2 linked regions of the Yarrowia lipolytica genome follow. The protein of the gene in region 2 purifies or fractionates together with the protein of the main gene of each other region. This does not show direct contact. Links are inferred from orthologs where the notes say so. Each region holds a gene or a part of one and is shown on either strand. Other genes may lie near its edges.

What was found. The genes of interacting proteins can lie anywhere in the genome.
Region 1: the proteins of YALI1_C21682g (region 2) and YALI1_E11587g purify together in Saccharomyces cerevisiae (affinity purification with western blotting; 3 studies listed by BioGRID, with this or other methods). This does not show direct contact. The link is inferred for Yarrowia lipolytica from reciprocal best matches to the Saccharomyces cerevisiae genes PEX1 and PEX14.

What each region holds. Positions count from the first base shown.
Region 1 is NC_090774.1:1,156,564-1,160,813, forward strand, and holds YALI1_E11587g (uncharacterized protein), read left to right. Parts: upstream 1-2,141; coding exon 2,142-3,284; downstream 3,285-4,250. Other genes in the region: YALI1_E11565g (uncharacterized protein), read left to right, coding at 1-142, 192-350. UniProt on the Saccharomyces cerevisiae protein: Component of the PEX13-PEX14 docking complex, a translocon channel that specifically mediates the import of peroxisomal cargo proteins bound to PEX5 or PEX21 receptors.
Region 2 is NC_090772.1:2,165,789-2,172,633, forward strand, and holds YALI1_C21682g (uncharacterized protein), read left to right. Parts: upstream 1-2,469; coding exon 2,470-2,565; intron 2,566-2,839; coding exon 2,840-6,010; downstream 6,011-6,845. Other genes in the region: YALI1_C21639g (uncharacterized protein), read left to right, coding at 1-298; YALI1_C21664g (uncharacterized protein), read right to left, coding at 423-674, 725-1,432; YALI1_C21722g (uncharacterized protein), read left to right, coding at 6,437-6,845. UniProt on the Saccharomyces cerevisiae protein: Component of the PEX1-PEX6 AAA ATPase complex, a protein dislocase complex that mediates the ATP-dependent extraction of the PEX5 receptor from peroxisomal membranes, an essential step for PEX5 recycling.

The DNA of each region.
Region 1 (4,250 bases), on a different chromosome or scaffold from region 2:
CAGAGATGGCCCAGGGGCATGTAGAGGAATAAGTGCCACCCTGAATACGCGCGGAACAAGCGGAATAGATTCAAACTCCACTTTAATGCTCCGTGGGGAGCATGACCGGTCGTATTGCTTGTACTTGTCTCAGGAAGGGCGGGTATAATAACGATAACTGAGTCGGAGGAATGAACTCGATACGATCTGAGATACGGGACTCAAACAGAGCCAATCTACAAGCCAAGGCGGTTATCAGGATCGGTCTCCTCGCAGATAGAGCTTCGTTTGTGGTGGACAGTTATGAGTTTTTTAGAAAACATGAATTCCAGGGCAAGTTTCTGATGCAGACCACTGGTGAACGAAAATGAGGGCTTATTACAATCGCAAACGTTGGACAATCACAGCAGTGAACTTCTCTTGTTTGTATCTCTTCTGTAACAAAAGCTAGCATCACTTTTCTACCTCTCCATGACAGCAAGAGACGAAGATATAAAACAATACAAGCCAGTTGCGATCATGGAGAGTTCTTTATTCTCTTTATCGTCCTATATTATCCTTTGAAACTTCTTATCCCTGAACCTCAACCCCTTACCTCCATTTCTTTCACCTCACCCCCTGTTGAACCTCATATTGGTTTCTGGCATTCTTACCAACAATGATGGCGGATTGAAGTGTCTACTTGTAGTTAAGCAAGTCTAAATAATAAACCGACAATTGTATCTGATCTGCCCGAACCTCCTTGTGCTCTAAGCGCGATACTCATTAGTACAGCCCTGCGATGAGTCCAAACTAGCCTTGTGGTTGCCCACAAAGCACCTTTTTTGTCTCTAGTTTGCATTACCGGACACGAAGAAACCCTACCATGGGCTAAATACTGCTCTCTGTGGGCCCACAAGTACTGTCTAGCACTTCCACGGAGATGATCACAAATATGCAGGTGCTAGCGTCGTTCAGGTCATTTTTCAGCACTAGTGCCAAAATAAACCCCAGCGTTCCATCTCCGCCATCCAGAAGCGCACTAATTCAAGGGGAAGGAATACCAACAACAGTTAGTCAAGTGTTTATTTTTGTCCGAACAACGCTGAAGAAGTTGTCAAGGTTGTCTTCATGTGCAGCGGCGAGAGGAAAGAGGGTCCAACCAACTCTCTCGGTGACCTGACGAATACGAGGAGTTGATCACTGCATTCTTTAGGCCCCAAGGAATATATCAATGCAGTATATGTGACTGTAGACTCCCGTATTCGATAATTACCACGTTGGTATTGGTGGGTGGGTGTCTCGCCTGATTCATCAGAGAACAGTTTAGAAAGTGAAGAAATGAAGTGCTGTTAATGCATGTATTAACAAACGGAGTTGACCCGTGGACTCGCGGCAAAAAACTGAACAAGGACGACATGTTTTCCCCATAATACTTTGTTATCTACCCCAGTTAGCTGAATCCTACAAGTAGTAGACCCTAGGGTGGGTACACTGAGACAGTGGAGGGCAATGTTTTAATTCAAAAGTCGGAGGTTTTTTGAGACCCTCTTTTGTTCAGTTCATGTGACCCGTATTTTGAAGTTCCTGCTTAGCTCCTATTCCTCAGATTCTTGTGGTACACTCGAACCCATACGAGCACTTTATGCCATACATTGGGGGAGCTGCGCTTATGTAAGCATAGGAGTTTTATTTTCATTTTTATTTTCATTTTTATTTCATTTTTTGATAGTGGACGTTATTTGGCAAGTAGCACGCTATACTGGTGGCTACGTCCAATATCGACTCCTCCAGGTCCGGTTTTATCACGTGAATGTCACGTGAATGTCACGTGATTACTCATACCGGTACTGTACTGTACAGTACTGCACTCGTAGTGCATCTGAGCTGGACCGTTGGTTTTCAAGTTACCCTACTTTTTCCCCCACATGTGTTTTTCCGTTGTGATTTTGAGCCTCGGTAAATGGGGAACTTTGATTCCGGCGCTGGGAAATGGGGAGGTGCACTTATCTCGACTTTTCGGGCTCGGATTTGGAAAAGGACAACTGATTTGAATTCAGCAGATTTTTCTTAACATTGCGGTAGTTTCAAAAATCAAAAATACCCACTTTCCAAGTAATTCCACGTCTCATCTATCATCTTGGACCCTAACCCCGAAAACGCACCCCACATCAGCTCCTCTTATGATTCCCTCTTGTCTCTCTACACAACACATGGCACCTCGAGAAGATCTAGTGCAAAGTGCGGTGGCGTTCCTGAACGATCCTCAGGCAGCCACTGCCCCGCTCGCCAAGCGGATCGAGTTTCTGGAGTCCAAGGATATGACTCCTGAGGAGATTGAGGAGGCTCTCAAGCGGGCTGGATCGGGCTCGGCCCAAAGTCATCCTGGAAGTGTGGTGAGTCACGGGGGCGCTGCTCCAACCGTGCCTGCCTCCTATGCATTCCAATCGGCTCCTCCTCTTCCTGAACGGGATTGGAAGGATGTATTCATCATGGCCACCGTCACTGTTGGTGTTGGATTTGGCCTGTACACGGTGGCAAAGCGATACCTGATGCCTCTCATCCTGCCCCCCACCCCTCCGTCTCTCGAGGCCGACAAGGAGGCTCTGGAAGCGGAGTTTGCCCGTGTGCAGGGCCTGCTCGACCAGGTGCAGCAGGACACAGAGGAGGTCAAGAACAGCCAGGTAGAGGTGGCCAAGCGGGTCACAGACGCGCTCAAGGGCGTGGAGGAGACCATCGACCAGCTCAAATCGCAGACCAAGAAGCGTGACGACGAGATGAAGCTTGTGACCGCCGAGGTGGAGCGAATCAGAGACAGACTGCCCAAGAACATTGACAAGCTCAAGGATTCGCAGGAACAGGGTCTGGCCGACATTCAGAGCGAGCTCAAGTCGCTCAAGCAGCTGCTCAGCACCCGAACCGCAGCCAGCTCTGGACCCAAGCTGCCTCCCATTCCTCCTCCCTCCTCCTACCTCACTCGAAAGGCGTCTCCTGCCGTTCCAGCTGCTGCTCCCGCACCTGTGACTCCCGGCTCTCCCGTGCACAATGTGTCTTCAAGCAGCACCGTTCCTGCTGACCGAGACGACTTTATCCCCACTCCCGCAGGAGCTGTGCCTATGATTCCCCAGCCTGCTTCCATGTCCTCTTCGAGCACCTCTACCGTGCCCAACTCGGCCATTTCCAGCGCCCCCTCCCCCATCCAGGAGCCCGAGCCTTTTGTGCCCGAGCCCGGCAACAGCGCCGTGAAGAAGCCCGCCCCCAAGGCTAGCATTCCCGCCTGGCAGTTGGCTGCCTTGGAGAAGGAAAAGGAAAAGGAAAAGGAGTAAATGTTAGGATACAGTGATGATAGTGCAGAGATGACGTGATGAAATGCCGAAATCGAACAGTGAACGGTAGCTCACCTTCGAGTGTTCGGTTGGACCATGGATCAGACGGTGTTCATGGTGTACTAGGATGTATAAGGTGGATCTTTATGTTAGTGCAGGCATATAGAGGAATTTATTTAATGCTACTGTAGTGGTAAGACGTGATCAATTTTTTTTTAGCTATTCTGCACTACTCTACTAGGGGACATAGATGCTCGGGACATTTCTCCATTCTGACGACCATTATTGGTACCTAGACTGATATCGTGGAGCATCAAATCCGTTTTGGGCTGATTTGAACAAGTCGGTGCCGATATTGCCACGCCTGTGAATAGTATATAGAACTAGGCAGCTCTTCCTGTTTAGCCTGAATCCGAAGTCTGAGCGGCAAGATCAAGTCGAGAGACCATGTCACGATTCTGGAAAGAAATTCGCGTTCGGACTTCTCAGAGAAGTGATGCAAGATGGCTCAGATCGAAGACAGAGGATTCACTTAAAGGCGCTTGGTTGAATAACATGACGTTACTACTGACAAACTCCAAATGTTCTACTTCCGTAGTCAGAGACAGAACTGGGTATAGTACAGTATGTACTGCGTAGTATGTACCGTACTGTTTTGGACAGGCCCAGTTTGGAAAACACACGGGTTACCGTTAGCCAAAGCCCGTTAAAAGTGTCGATTGAAGGTCTGTTGGAATTATCACCAACAACCTGTCTTGCGTTTCGGGAATTTCCCCAGTCTTGCGCCTTGGACCGCCATGATGAGGGAACTCCGCTCCTAGAGAGATGTACGATGGCTTTCCACAGGGGACCTGGCAGAGCGCGACGGCGGTGAGATGGAAACTCGAGTGACAGTGGTTACAATCTAACTTGGATGCAAGAAGATACTGTCACTGGACTTCACGGCCATTGTGGTTCCCCTTTGTG
Region 2 (6,845 bases):
TCTTGGAATTATGAGGAAGTGTCTATCTGCAGAAGACATGTATCAGATCCTCAAGGACTTCTCAAAGGTTTTGTCTGAGTATTTCTCTCGACAAGTTATCATGGTGAATACATTTTCTGCAGCTGGTGGCCAACAACTCATAAGTGATGTCCGAGAAATGTGGACTCGCCTGGGGTTGCCGCAAGACCAGGAGTATCATAGAATCTATGAGAGTGCTGGACTGCTTTCTAGTAGGGATTTCAAGCCATCACACCTTGATGGTGCCACAGTGAAATCAGTCGTCAGGCGAAGGGCATGACAACATAGCTTAATATACACGAACACCATTTACACCACGCAAGTTCAACTTGAGAAGCGCATTGTCTTTCTAATCTATGGAGGTACCTACTCCACCTTTGGTAGCTAAGTTAGTTTCCCCCGATTCAGGCCAGCATCAGTCGGCTGGGCTCTTCTTCGCTGTCTTCGCTCACAGAACCGTAGCCCAATCTCTGCGAGGATGGGCGGTGGTGATTGCTGTGCTCGCGATGATGATGATGATGATGATGATGACGATGATGCTGATTGTGGTAGTGGTGGTTTTGGCTTTCTATGCCTCCTGGACTTACTTGGAAATTACTGTCGTTGTACCAGACGTAATGCTGTAGCATGAACATGATGTCGAAAATTAACGTGATCTGTGTTAGTTGAGAGAGCTCTGCAGGTCTCGGTAGAAATCAATACTTACCAATGATAATAGAAGCTTTGGCACATTCTTGAAGATACCCTCATAATCGTGATTGATATAACCATCCAAGATTAGCTGTGCCAACGATAAAATGCCTCCTCCGAAATCACACAAAATGGAAACAATTGACCATCCCTTCGTGGACTTACGTCGGAAGTTCCATAGAAGTTGCGGGAAGTATTTACTGGTGCTCATGAGAACCTTGACGGATCCTGTGACATATGTAACATCCAACCATTGTAGTCCAATGCTGGGGTCCGAATTGCCGAACAGATACACAAGAAGCGCCGTTCCGAGTGATATTCCGATACCGAAGATTAGCAATGATAGGCCCCATTTGGACAACCGCTGTAGTGGTGATCGACTAAAGCCCCAAAAGTACACTTGACTGAGTGTCAGGAGGGTGAGGAAGCAACCGTGAATGCCAAACCACACGTCGTTGAGACGGACGAGTGGGTAATGTTTAACACCCGAAGGATCAGAATGACGTGCAGCATATTGCTCCCGAATTGTGTGATTGTAATAGAGGAGCACTGTTGATATCGTGTAGCAAATGTACCCAAGTGTGTTGAGGTAGAGAAAATCGAGTGAGATACCTTCCACAGACTTCAATTTGATGTTCAGCAAGATCGGAGGATAGAAGGAGAAGCTCCATAGTGCAAAATACGTCCACCCAAGAACGGATGACACTATGACCAGAAATTGCATCACGTTGTGTGCCTTTCAGTCGCTGTTGCCTGTGGGTGCGGGATAGTGTTTCTAATTGTGGATTTGTGGATTAGACTATGTGTACTGTACTCGTACTTACTGTACATCATGAACGTACCGTTTACTATCTTACTGTAGTACAAGTAGTTACTGTATGTACAGTACATACAGGTACAATAGCTACTTACTTGTACTCGTACCGGTACTTCTAATTATATTCTATATTGTGTAATATGATAACAGCTCACACATCAGTTGAAAGGGACACCTTCCGACAACGAGATTCTCAGATTCTATTAGTGAAAACTCAGAATGGGGTCCTCCCCCAACCCCTACATGCCTACAAGTATTTCCAGACAAGTACAGTATGTACAGTACAGTACAGTACATACATACAGTATTGCATGCCTGGGATCATAAATCAGTAGAACATGCTACAAGTACAGAGTACATACTGTACAGTACAGTACTGTACCGGTATTGTACTGGTATTCGCCGTCTGTACAGGTGTACTCATAGGCCACGCATGCATCATGTATCGTAGACAGGTTATGATAATACTTTTCGGGAGACCCATAGCACCTGACAATATGGTCTTGAATCTGCATTCGTATGTACAGCACAGTAAGAGTACTGTACGGACAGTAGCTACTTGTACCAGTAATTACTTGTAGCTTACCGATACATGATCATGAGTAATTGCCAACGCAAAATAGATGACCCCAAGTATTCCCGAAAGTTTAACTCCACTGTCCATTGTGAAAGCGTCGTCCCGGTCTTTTCCATATTGCCCCATGATCTTCAATGGAATGTTACGCTATAGGAAGGCGCTCTGAATTACGCGTATCTGGTAAGAAACAATCTCATTGAGATTGTACTTGTTATCACTTCATCAGAATATCCACCCTCTATAGTCGGTAATTTACCTCGGCATTTCTTTCTGAAAATTAAGGTTCTTTTCACGTTTCCCCCACATCTGTCCCAAGTGGGGTGCCACTTCTCATCACAAGCCTAGCATCTCGCGCACCTCCAGAACCATGGCACATTCAGCTCTAGTAGGGTACGCGCCTTTAAGGTCGGGGCTTGTTAACATTCCGACATCGCTTTCCTCGCTAATTTTCAACAGTGGAGTGGTGAGTATCAACTATGAAGGACAGATCATGAGACCGTTGGGCCAGAGCCAGAGCGATCCTAGATCCTATGGTCTCTTTTGGCAAGACCATTTAGTGGTGATCAGAAGAGTTGCTGTTACGACCTGAGATATCCCATAATTGTTGGGTGACTACCTATCACATTAGTGATACACTCTTGAGGAAGCCCTCAGCGGATGGTCCTGTACACGAGTCGCTGATCTGAGAACCAAAATGGTCTCCAACGAATGAACGCCTCGTGGAAAAACTAACGCAGTCAATTCAAGATGTCATTTTATCACTGTCATGGCAGTCTAAACCGTCGGTATCCGGAACCAGAACCACACAGACTGCCTATGTCGGATGGACTGGTATGACATCCAAGTCTGATTATTCTGGAAAAGACAAGATTGAACTCGACCCGGTTTTTGCCAAATCCATCGATCTACTGCCCAATACTCAGGTGGTCATTGACATTCAGCTGAATCCCAAGATCGCACACACCATTCACTTGGAACCTGTCACCGTGGCTGACTGGGAAATTGTCGAACTACATGCTGCATACCTTGAGTCTCGGATGATTAATCAGGTTCGAGCTGTATCCCCCAACCAGCCAGTCACGGTATACCCGTCCTCCACCACGTCTGCTACGCTGAAGGTTATTCGAATCGAGCCAGATTTAGGAGCAGCAGGATTCGCCAAGCTATCGCCAGACTCTGAAGTTGTGGTAGCTCCCAAGCAGCGAAAGAAGGAGGAGAAACAAGTGAAGAAACGGTCCGGAAGTGCGAGATCTACTGGATCTCAGAAGAGAAAAGGTGGCCGAGGCCCCCACGCTCTGAGGCGAGCTATTAGTGAAGACTTCGATGGCCATCTACGTTTGGAGGTGTCCCTGGATGTCTCCCAGCTGCCCCCTGAGTTTCACCAGCTGAAAAATGTTTCCATCAAGGTCATTACACCGCCCAATTTAGCGTCCCCTCAGCAAGCAGCCTCTATCGCAGTAGAGGAAAAGTCAGAGGAGAGTTTGTCTCAAAACAAGCCACCCTCTTCTGAGCCTAAGGTTGAGGTTCCTCCGGATATCATCAATCCTGCTTCCGAGATCGTTGCGACTCTCGTTAACGATACTACTTCTCCCACTGGTCATGCTAAGCTAAGTTATGCACTTGCCGACGCACTGGGGATCCCTAGCTCTGTGGGCCACGTAATTAGATTTGAATCTGCATCTAAGCCTCTTTCTCAAAAGCCTGGAGCGCTGGTGATTCATCGTTTCATCACTAAGACAGTGGGGGCTGCAGAGCAAAAATCACTCCGATTGAAGGGAGAGAAGAACGCCGACGATGGTGTTTCAGCCGACGACCAGTTCTCTTTGCTGGAAGAGCTCAAAAAGCTGCAGATGCTTGAAGGGCCTATTACGAATTTTCAGCGCCTACCTCCTATTCCCGAGCTGCTTCCTTTGGGTGGTGTCATCGGTTTGCAAAACTCAGAGGGCTGGATCCAAGGAGGCTACCTCGGCGAGGAGCCCATACCGTTTGTTTCTGGTTCTGAAATTCTAAGATCAGAATCGTCCCTGTCCCCTTCAAATATCGAATCTGAGGACAAGCGTGTTGTTGGCTTGGACAATATGCTGAACAAAATTAACGAGGTTCTGTCTCGTGACTCTATTGGGTGCCTGGTTTACGGATCCAGGGGCTCTGGTAAAAGTGCTGTTCTGAACCACATCAAGAAGGAATGTAAAGTGTCACACACTCACACGGTCTCCATTGCCTGCGGTCTCATTGCCCAAGACAGGGTCCAGGCTGTGAGAGAGATTCTCACCAAGGCATTTCTTGAGGCATCCTGGTTTTCCCCCTCAGTCTTGTTCTTGGATGATATTGATGCATTGATGCCTGCCGAAGTCGAACACGCTGATTCTTCGCGAACAAGACAGTTGACGCAGCTATTTTTGGAGTTGGCATTGCCCATCATGAAGTCTCGCCATGTTTCCGTTGTGGCTTCTGCACAGGCCAAAGAGTCCCTTCATATGAATCTTGTGACTGGCCATGTGTTTGAAGAGCTTTTCCATCTCAAATCTCCCGATAAGGAGGCTCGTCTGGCCATCTTGTCAGAGGCGGTTAAGCTGATGGACCAGAATGTTTCCTTTTCACAGAATGATGTTCTCGAAATTGCTTCTCAGGTCGATGGATACCTGCCTGGGGACTTGTGGACTCTGAGTGAGCGAGCCCAGCATGAAATGGCTCTCAGACAGATTGAAATTGGACTTGAAAACCCTTCAATCCAACTCGCGGACTTCATGAAAGCACTAGAGGACTTCGTGCCATCATCTCTGCGAGGGGTTAAGCTACAAAAATCCAACGTCAAATGGAATGACATCGGTGGTCTGAAAGAAACCAAGGCAGTTCTTTTGGAAACCCTCGAATGGCCCACCAAGTATGCTCCTATTTTTGCATCTTGTCCCCTTCGTCTGCGTTCTGGTCTCCTTCTCTACGGTTACCCTGGTTGTGGCAAAACCTACTTGGCCTCAGCAGTTGCTGCGCAATGTGGTCTCAACTTCATTTCTATTAAGGGTCCTGAGATTCTGAACAAGTACATTGGTGCATCCGAACAAAGTGTTCGAGAGCTCTTTGAGCGAGCTCAGGCTGCAAAACCTTGCATCTTGTTCTTTGATGAGTTTGACTCCATTGCTCCCAAGCGAGGACACGATTCCACTGGTGTTACTGACCGAGTGGTTAATCAGATGCTTACGCAGATGGATGGTGCTGAGGGACTCGATGGTGTTTATGTTCTGGCTGCCACTTCGCGACCCGACCTCATCGACCCCGCACTGTTACGTCCTGGTCGACTGGATAAAATGCTTATCTGTGACCTGCCCTCTTATGAAGACCGGCTGGATATCCTGCGAGCAATTGTGGATGGAAAAATGCACCTGGATGGGGAAGTGGAATTGGAATACGTGGCGTCAAGGACCGACGGCTTTTCTGGGGCTGATCTGCAGGCTGTGATGTTCAATGCTTATCTTGAGGCTATTCATGAAGTTGTGGATGTTGCTGATGACACAGCAGCTGATACCCCTGCGCTCGAAGACAAGCGTCTTGAATTTTTCCAGACGACCCTTGGAGATGCCAAGAAAGATCCTGCAGCTGTCCAAAATGAGGTAATGAATGCTCGAGCTGCAGTAGCCGAGAAGGCTCGTGTCACAGCTAAGTTGGAAGCCTTGTTTAAGGGCATGTCTGTGGGTGTCGATAACGATGATGATAAGCCCCGGAAGAAGGCAGTCGTTGTAATCAAACCTCAACACATGAATAAGTCTTTGGATGAGACTTCTCCTTCCATCAGTAAGAAGGAGCTCCTGAAGCTGAAGGGCATCTATAGCCAGTTTGTCAGTGGTCGAAGTGGCGATATGCCGCCTGGCACTGCCTCCACAGATGTTGGTGGACGGGCTACCTTGGCATGATGTAATTTAATGATATGTTTTTGATTATCTTTGACGCAACATGTTATGGGTTTTGCCGGTGAGAATCGTCATCATCTGAGTACAGTACATACAGTACACAATACACATCAATTTTTAAGTACATACAACTGTAGGTACTGTACAGTATGTACATACATACACTTGTACTGTACTTGTACTTATACTTATACTCTGGTATTGGGACCACTTAATAAAACCTTATTACATGACAGTATTGTTGTAAGACACATGAATCACCACATTCGGGCTCGCATTTACGTACAGTACACGAACAATTGTCGACTCAAAAAGCGCTTCCTATATCACCACGTTAAAATATCATCGACATCCGGCTTATCTATGTAGCAACATTCTGCATTTTAGAGTGCCAGGTCGAAAATTATCTGTAGTGTTGGGTAAGGGTTCATGGTATATGCGGCTCACTCTCCGACTACTGTATATAGGATCGTATTTCGTGTTGTAATCTACAATACGAGTACTATACTGGGTTTGCATCTCATCATCACAGTACACGGTATGTTCACATTCACAATTCCATCGGAATCTATCAGCTACGGATATGCAGTGTTCCAGTCTAAAGGCGATCTTACACAGCTCAACATCGAGGTTACTGGGTCCGAAGGCGAACATGTGTTCTCAGTGCGAATCAACAAGGGTCTCTTGAAACAGCATAAGTATCGACGAAACAAGGAATCTGACGAGGATTGGGAAAAGGTAGTGCGGTGGGTTTTTACGGGCGAAGCCGGAGAGGGATTTGAAGCAGAAAGCGTGATTACTCAATGCTCATACGATAGCATGGACAAATCTTTGAGTG